Rattus norvegicus: one gene and its partner. The protein of the gene in region 1 purifies or fractionates together with the protein of each later gene. This does not show direct contact. Links are inferred from orthologs where the notes say so. Each region holds a gene or a part of one and is shown on either strand. Other genes may lie near its edges. The genes, in order: Pold3 and Sprtn.

Region 1 (3,807 bases):
CTTGCCCAGAGGGAAGCAGATTTGAATTAATTCAGTTTTATCATTGAAGGTGGTAGTGAGATGGGAACATCTAGGCATTCAAAGGTAGAATACAGGGTTCAATAGTTAAAAAGCACCGGCTGCTCCTCTAAAAGGCCTGGGTTCAATTCCCAGCACTTACATGGTGGCTCACAACCATCTATAACTACCCAGGGCATCTATAACTAATGCTCTCCTCTGGGCTCCACAGGCTCTAGACATGCATGTGGTGCACAGATACACATGCAGATAAAATACCCATACAAACAAAATAAGTAATTTTTTTTTAAAGGTAGAATAGAAAAGATGTTGCTACGAATGTAGCAGTCACCCAGTTTTAAGCTCTATTCTTGAACATCATGACTACCTGCAGCTCTGTTTCTATTGTAAATTAAGATGAACTTAAGGGCTGCCAGGCCTGACGATTTGATCCCTGGGATTTGCATGGTAGAGGGAGAGAGCATACACCACTGAGCTTCACACATATACCATGGCATACACACACCCAGCATACATATAATAAAGTAGTAGATGTAGTTAAAAAAGTTAAGGCCCCAAAGCTGAATTTGGTATTTTTAGGTCTTTGTTTGCTGTCATTTAGAGCTGTGAGGTAATGAGAGATTAGTGAGGAGCAGAAATGAAGATTGCAGATGTTTTCTTAATCAACTGTGATCTCCTTTAGGACAGGGACTGTTTTTTATCCCTTGCTCCTAACATGTTACCTGTGGACTGTCAAAGAGTGATGGATTACTACTGTATGATGGGTTGTACATCATCTGCCGTACTTTATTTGTAGGTAAACTTAAAGTCAATTTGGATTCAGAACAAGCAGTAAAGGAAGAAAAAACAGTGGAGCAACCTCCAGTGTCTGTCGCTGAACCAAAGCTGGCAGCTCCCCCAGCTCTGAAGAAATCCAGCAGAAAGTCAGAGCCTGTGAAGATGCAGCAGAAGGAAAAAAAGTGGTAGGAAAATTTTGTCCCTTGGGGGAGGGGAGAGTGTCTTGTGGAGGTGAGATGGTCTGCTTGGTTGTCTGCAGCAGGCAGTTTTCAGCTCAGCATTAAGTCCCACTTAATGTTTAGGGATGCAGCCATCCAGGTAGAGTGAAGACAGAAGCCCCATGGCTCATCCAGTGAGTCAGGACCACAGAGCAGCTGGCTTGGGGGATTTAGGATCCAGGGCTGCATTTGTCCCTGTTGATGCAAAGGGATTGCCTTTGCCTCCAGACTTCAGGTTAAACGTGTAGACACTGTGTAAATGTGCCTGTGTGTGAATGTGTGTGTGTAGACACTGTGTAAGTGTGCTTGTGTGTGAGTGTGTGTGTGTGTGTGTGTGTGTGCTTGTGTTTCACATCAAATTACCCAGTGAGAAGTTACTGTTTCCAGTCCAGTTTAAGAGAAGAAGTTCTTTGTTTTCTTTTTATATCAATGAGTTTATTTTTCAAGTGGTAAAATGTAATTAGAAAAGAAAATAAAAAGCACACAAGCTGTTAAAAATGGATCCAGGAGTTTGAGACACTACCTCATAGCTGGTAGGAATTAGTCTGTTGAAAGAAATTCTAAAGGACACTGTCAGCACTGATAGGCCCACAAAGAACCAACTTTTGTGGTAAAGTTGGAGCAACAAAATAGTGACATTTCAGAGGGGTAAGGCTCTGTCCAGTGGGCCTTACCTCCCAGGAACACATGATATATGTGGATTAAAATGTCCCCAGCCATGATCACAACACTGACTGTTAGAGGCTGTTACCAGGCATCTACTCAGTATTTCCCTGTTGAACAGCAAGTCAAGTGTAGGTTTTTAGTAGTAGGTGTCCTTTACCAGGTTGAGGCTTCTTCTCTTTTCTATTCCAGGTTTGCTGAGAGGCTTTTACTCATTGATTTTACATTTTACACCCGCTTTCTGCTTTTACTAAGGTGGCTCATAAACTTTCTCTGCTAATGTGGTAGATTATACTGATTTACGTGAAAATGTTAAACCAGCCTTGCATTCTTAGCATTAGCTCCCTGGTCATACTATTTTACACACTGCTAGATCAGTTGATGTAACTCTAGAGGGAGGGTTGTTTCTATATTTTTGAGGATATCTATATCCTCAAATATCTATTTTATGTCATCTGTTTGCTGGTAATTGGCTAGCTTTAGTATCAAACTTGTGTTAACTTCATAAATTAAGAGGAGTTTCCCATTTTCCAAAAGACTTTGTGAACTTTATTTTCTATTTTTATATTTATTGTCTGGGGTGGGGGCTATGTACACACCATGGCACAGAGGGCATTCTCGAGGGAGTCAGTTTCCGCCATGTGGGCCTGGGATAGAACATAGTTTATTAGATTTGGCACTAAGCACCTTGACCTGCTGAGCCATCTCTGGCCCTATGTAGATGTATTTCCAGTACATTTAAATATATGATAAATCTATCAGTGAATATGGGCCTGGGTTTTCTTTATAGGAAGGATTTTTATTTTTGTGTGTGAGAGCTTCTTTAGATAGTGTTATTCAGATTTTCTAGTTCTTTTTGGTTTTGAGTAAGTTGTGCTTTTAAAGGAATTTATTTCCTCTAAGTGCTTGAACTTACTAAAGTTGTTCACAATGCAGTCTTGTTTTTGGAGTATTTATAGACTGTATAGTTAAGACTACAGATTCCTTTATTCTCTAGTTCTTACTTGGAAGTACATGTTTTCCTCCTTTTGTAAAAGGCTTATTAATCTTTTCTCCTTAACAGAACAACTTTGGGCTTTTAAATTTTTCTTTCTTCTCTATTTCATTGCTTTCCACTAATATGTTTATTTCTTTTGGCTTATGTTGTGTTTATTTTATTTTTTTCTAGTTGAAGTAGGAAAAAAATGATGTTCAAAATGAAATAAGACAGGTATTCAATGACAAAAAGACCCTGGCTTACATATCTACATGACTGTAACACACAATAGGCCCCTAATTATTTATAGATTAAGTGAAAGCTGTAATGGAGAAAGCAGACAGAAAAGCTGAAAAATGTCAAGACAGAGTCTAGGTTTTTATTACATCATTAGGATGACTTTATGGTCTTGTCTGTGCCTTTGTTCACACTGTTCTTTCACTGTAGAATACTTATCTTCCCTTCCTACCTGTTGAATGTCTACTAGCGTTTAACAGTCGTATCCCACAGCTATTTGTCCATTAAGTTTTATCATGTCCTATAGTAGCTAGTGCACTTGGCCAGAGCAGGCTCCTCTTTTGAAGCAAGGTTTCACTGCGAGGCCCAGGTTGGCCTTAGTCTTAGAAGCCTCTCTGTGGAAATTATGGGCATGGCCTGCCAGAGCTTCTTGAGAACAGTATTTCCTTCCTGGTCTTTGTATTATAGCTGATTAGCTGCTTATTAATTGTGTGTTAAAAAACTAAAAGGCCAGTTAGCAGGGTTTGGGGGCCATCTAGAGGACTCTAGATTAAAAAATGGCCTATGGAGAACTGGGGAAACCTTTTATTCTGGCCACCTATAAAGTGATGTAGTTATAGTTATAACCGTATATATCCCCAGAGAACCAGTCTCACTGGGCATGGTGGTTAACCATTCAGGAGGCAGAGGTAGGAGCATTTCTGTAAGTTCAAGACTAGCCTGGTCTATACATTGAGTTCCAGGACAGCCAGCACTACATAGTGTTGTGTCTGCCCTTTAATCTCAGCACTCAAAGCAGAGGCAGGTAGAGCTTTGAGTTGGAGGCCAGCCTGGTCTACAGAGTAAGTTCCAGGATAGCCAGGGCTACACAGAGAATGCTTATCTCAGAAAAACAAACAAACAAAAAACAATCCTATG
Region 2 (4,329 bases), on another chromosome or scaffold:
GAGCTGTCGCACTCGTTCATCCACTTTGGCCCTCAGCTCTTTCACAGAAGGTGGGCTGGGCTTATCTTCAAGATAGTGATTTAATTTGTCCAGCAAGTCCACGGCACCCTCAAAGTCCCTCTGCGCAATACAAACATCCAGGTCTTCCGGCAACTCCTGGATCCACTCCATGGAAAGGTCAACCTTTTCCTCCTCTGCCTCCGGGGTGGCCAGTTCCTCCTCGGCCTCATCCTCAAACGGGTTGCTGCCCTTGGAAGTGACCGGTGGTGGCGCACGCAAGGCGGCTGCCTCCTCCTGCTCCCGTCTCCTCTTGTCGCTGAGCGCCCTCTTGGTTTCCTCCAGCACTTCCAGCCACTCGCGTTTAATCTTGGCATTTTCCGCTTGAAAGATTCGGCTCTCAGGGAACATGAGCAGCTTGAACATGTCTTTCATAGGTGGATTGTCTTTGACGTTGACCACAGCCAGGCGGTCCAGTGGGTAGAGTGCGTTGTAGCGGTACATGCCTCGCCGTTGTGGTAGCCAAGTGGCCACCAGCAGACAGTCGTTCATGAGGAAGCCATGCACTCGCTGCAGCTGGGCCATATGGTCTGCCTCGTATTCCACCAGGTCCCCGTTGTACACAAGGTACTGACCTGGTGTCTCCAGCAGGTCCCTGCAGCCCTCCACCTTCTCCAGCAGCGTGGTGAGCGTTCGCTGCTTGCCCTCCTCTCCCGTCCCGGGGCCCTCGCGAGGGACTCCGGCCGGCCCCGGAAGAAAGCCCGCCTGGGCCGCCCCGCGCTCCCGCGGTCCCGCGCCCGCCGTGTCCTCACCCGTGGATGCGCCCGCGGCAGCGGCGGGCAGCAGTGCCAGCGGGATGCTCTCCAGACTGCTCTTCTGCTCCGTCAGCAGGTGGCTCAGCTGGTACATCTCGCTCTCCAGGTAGGAGATCTCGCGCGCCGTCTCGATGAACTGCCGGTAGTTCTGGTAGACGTTGCGCTTCAGGTTCTGCGCCGTCTCCTCCGCCAGCGCCTGCACCCGCTGTCGGTGCTCCTGCAGGTCGCGGTCGCCGTCCGACTGCTGCGACAGTTGCTTCACGTACAGCCGCGCCTCGAAGCCCCCCGACTCCAGCTGCCTCCGCAGGCGGCTCGCCCCGCTGTCCGACATGGCTGCCACCCGCCCTGCTCCCGCGGCCCGCAGTGGCTGTCACTCGCCGCCTCCCGGCCCCACCCGAGCCCGGTGGAGAAGCGGTAGAGGAAGCGGGGCGGGAGCAACACCCAAACGCCTGCGCCGGGGCCGAGCGCTGCATTGCGCCTGTGCCAAAGTCGAGACTCTCACACTGCGCCTGCGCCCGGGGCGGAGTGTCGACGACGCGCCTGCGCGGAAACGGCAGCGTCTTAAGGCGCGTGCGCGGACGGGCCAGTACGGAAGTCAGAGGAGGGTCGGGCACGGACCAGACTTGACGTGAGGCGCTGGACCTCGGCGGCGGTCTGGAGACAACTGGCTTCCTGAAGCCGTCCCTACCCCGAGCCCAGCGTTCCTAAGTCTGTGTCCGCGGGGCAGAGCCGAGCCACCTTCGGTTAGGCGTTCGAGGCGAGCCCGCGCGCCCTGACAGCGGGGCCGGGAGGTCTCGCGAGATCCGTACGCCTCACGAGCCCGACCGGCGTCTTGGGAGCGGCTGAAGTGAGAGTATCGGGATGGACGAGGATCTGGTGGTCGCGCTGCGGCTGCAGGAGGAGTGGGACGTGCAGGCGGCGCGGCGCGCGGCGGCGCGGGAGCCCCTATCGTTGGTGGACGCGTCCTGGGAGCTGGTGGACCCCACCCCGGACCTGCAGGCGCTCTTCCTGCAGTTTAACGATCGCTTCTTCTGGGGTCAGCTGGAGGCCGTGGAGGTGAAGTGGAGTGTGCGCATGACACTGTGAGTGCGCCCACGAACGGCTCGGAACGTAGGGAAGGGCAAGGGCGCTGAGTTGTCGTTGGTGTGTCCCCTCCTCGTGGCCCAACGGCTCTCAGAGATGTACCAGCAGGATCCCTCATCTACCCACTGAGTTTGAGAAATCCTGTTCTAGATAATAATCTGCCCTGCATATACACCGTCACATAGCAGCCTGAGCTGAAGCAGGCTGAGACGTAGCGTACTTCTAACTTCACATCGGCCCCGTGACAAGTCCCGGTGCGGAGCAGAGAGGATAACAGTGGGTGAGGGTGTGAGGGTGATCAAGTGTTATTAAAAAGCCCTCTATCAGGGACTTTCGTTGAACTGCCCAAGGATAAGGATTTGCTGGCTCTTTTTTTTTTTTTTTTTTTTTTGGAGACAGGGTCTCACTATGTATCTGTGGCTGCCCTGGAATTCACTCTGTAGACCAGGCTGGCCCGGAACTGGGAGATCCTCCTGCATCTGCCTCCCACGGACTAGGATGAAAGGCCTGCGCCACCATGCCAGGCGAGGGTTTGTTTTTTGTTCTGTCTCCTTTGTGCATTGGGTGAACCTAATCCATTGTCCGTGACTGTTTTCCAGGTGTGCTGGCATCTGCACCTATGAAGGGAGAGGAGGCATGTGCTCCATCCGTCTCAGTGAACCCTTGTTAAAACTCAGACCAAGAAAGGACCTTGTAGAGGTAGTCTTCGCATAAACTGGTTCCTCAACATTTAGATTTTTATTTTTCAATGATGTGTTCTTGATAGTAGCTCATACTATCTTCAACCACAAGATCCTCTGGTCTCTGCCTGAGGGCTTACAACAGTGCATCACCATTCCCGTCCAGGGTATTTTGTTGATTTTAAGAGACAGTCTCTATTCCTTAGATTGGCCCTGGTCTTAATGCTTCTCTTGCCTCAGCCTCTCCAGTGAGCTGGCATGCAAGTACCCAGCTATTTTTAGAGGGCGCAGGGTTGTGGGGGGTTTGATGGTGAGGGAGGCAGAGCTTGCTGTAGCCAAGCTGATCTCAAACTCCTGAGCCTTCTGCTTCCACCTTGAGTCTGGGATCATGGGTCAGGATCATGCCCAGTGGCCGTTCAGAGCTGGGCTGCTTGCTCTTTTGGTGTCCGCATTTCCATTGTTGGCATCTGGAGTCTGCATGGCAGAGTTTTGACTCTATTGGATGTTAAAGTTTTTGTGTGGTTGGGTTCACCAACCTTTTGGGTTTGGGTACATAGTTAAATGGGCCTTCCTAAGCAGCGTTCATTCTGTGAAGAGGGGTACTGGGTTCTGTAGAGCTTGGAATATATGTAAAGGTTTGTACTTGGCTCTGCAGAAGGCTAAGACTGCAGGTTAAAAAAGAATTCATTTTAGCTTCACACTTGCCCTAGAAAATCAATACTTGGTTTTGTGTTTCAGACTCTCTTGCACGAAATGATCCATGCTTACTTATTTGTCACTAATAATGACAAAGACCGAGAAGGACACGGCCCAGAGTTCTGTAAACACATGCATCGAATCAACCAGCTGACAGGAGCCAACATAACGGTCGGTACACTGAGCCACACAGGTTTGGGGAGCAGGCAGGACCAGGGTCTTGGCTGTGTAGACCAGTCTTGCCTCATACTCAAAATTCTAACTTAGCCTCCTAAGTGGTGGGATTGTGGGTATGTCCCACCACGCCTAGTAGCCATTCATTCAGCAAAGGGGAACTAGGTAGAAAGAGATTTTCAGCCTTGAACAAGAGTCCTACCATTTAGTCTCTAGGGGTAGAGTGGCTAAGGAGCCTGCAGGCCTCTTCGTTGAGGCTTCAGCAACTGCAGGCCAGCATTTCAGGCATGGGACCTTCAGGAGTGACTCCAGCTCATCTTCCCTGAGCTCTTCTGGAACCATCGCTGCTATGCAGTGGCGTCACGGCAGTGCCTGCTTTTGAGATCGTGACAGTAAAGGATGTGCGGTGCACCGTGAGCACTGACAATGTTGTTAACTATGAGGGTCTTGTGTGATTGCTTAGGAAGGATCTGGCCCTTTTGCAGTTTTTATCATTCCAGGAACTTAAGGAAGTGTGTGCCTCCTCACCTTTCCTTCTGTGCAGTTTTATTCTCTGTGTGCGCTGATGCTCCGCTTGCATGTGTGCCTGTGGGAGGGCGTCAGATCCCTGGGCTCTGTAACCAGAGTTACAGATGGTTGTGAGCTGCATTGTGGGTGCTTGGCAGCTGAACCTAGGGTCCTCTGTAAGAGTAGCCTCTTACCCACTGAGCCATCTCTCCAGCCCTGTGGTCTCAGGTCTTTCTCTCTATGGTAGCTTAGTAAGGTTGTGGTGAACATCCTCGGGCCTAGCTTTTAATGATGATGTTGTTCACTCTGCAACATTTTCATTCATGGTGGTGTTTTCTGGTTGTGGGGTTTTTTGCCCACAAAAATCTCTTGCTTTA

Evidence for each region.
Region 2: the proteins of Pold3 (region 1) and Sprtn purify together in Homo sapiens (affinity purification with mass spectrometry; 3 studies listed by BioGRID, with this or other methods). This does not show direct contact. The link is inferred for Rattus norvegicus from reciprocal best matches to the Homo sapiens genes POLD3 and SPRTN.

Annotation. Positions count from the first base shown.
Region 1 is NC_086019.1:163,841,007-163,844,813, reverse strand, and holds part of Pold3 (DNA polymerase delta subunit 3), read left to right. Parts: intron 1-814; coding exon 815-980; intron 981-3,807. UniProt on the Homo sapiens protein: Accessory component of both the DNA polymerase delta complex and the DNA polymerase zeta complex.
Region 2 is NC_086037.1:69,753,580-69,757,908, forward strand, and holds the start of Sprtn (DNA-dependent metalloprotease SPRTN), read left to right. Parts: upstream 1-1,409; 5' UTR 1,410-1,673; coding exon 1,674-1,894; intron 1,895-1,904; exon of another isoform or gene 1,905-2,175; intron 2,176-2,494; coding exon 2,495-2,594; intron 2,595-3,313; coding exon 3,314-3,442; intron 3,443-4,329. Other genes in the region: Exoc8 (exocyst complex component 8), read right to left, coding at 1-1,143. UniProt on the Homo sapiens protein: DNA-dependent metalloendopeptidase that mediates the proteolytic cleavage of covalent DNA-protein cross-links (DPCs) during DNA synthesis, thereby playing a key role in maintaining genomic integrity.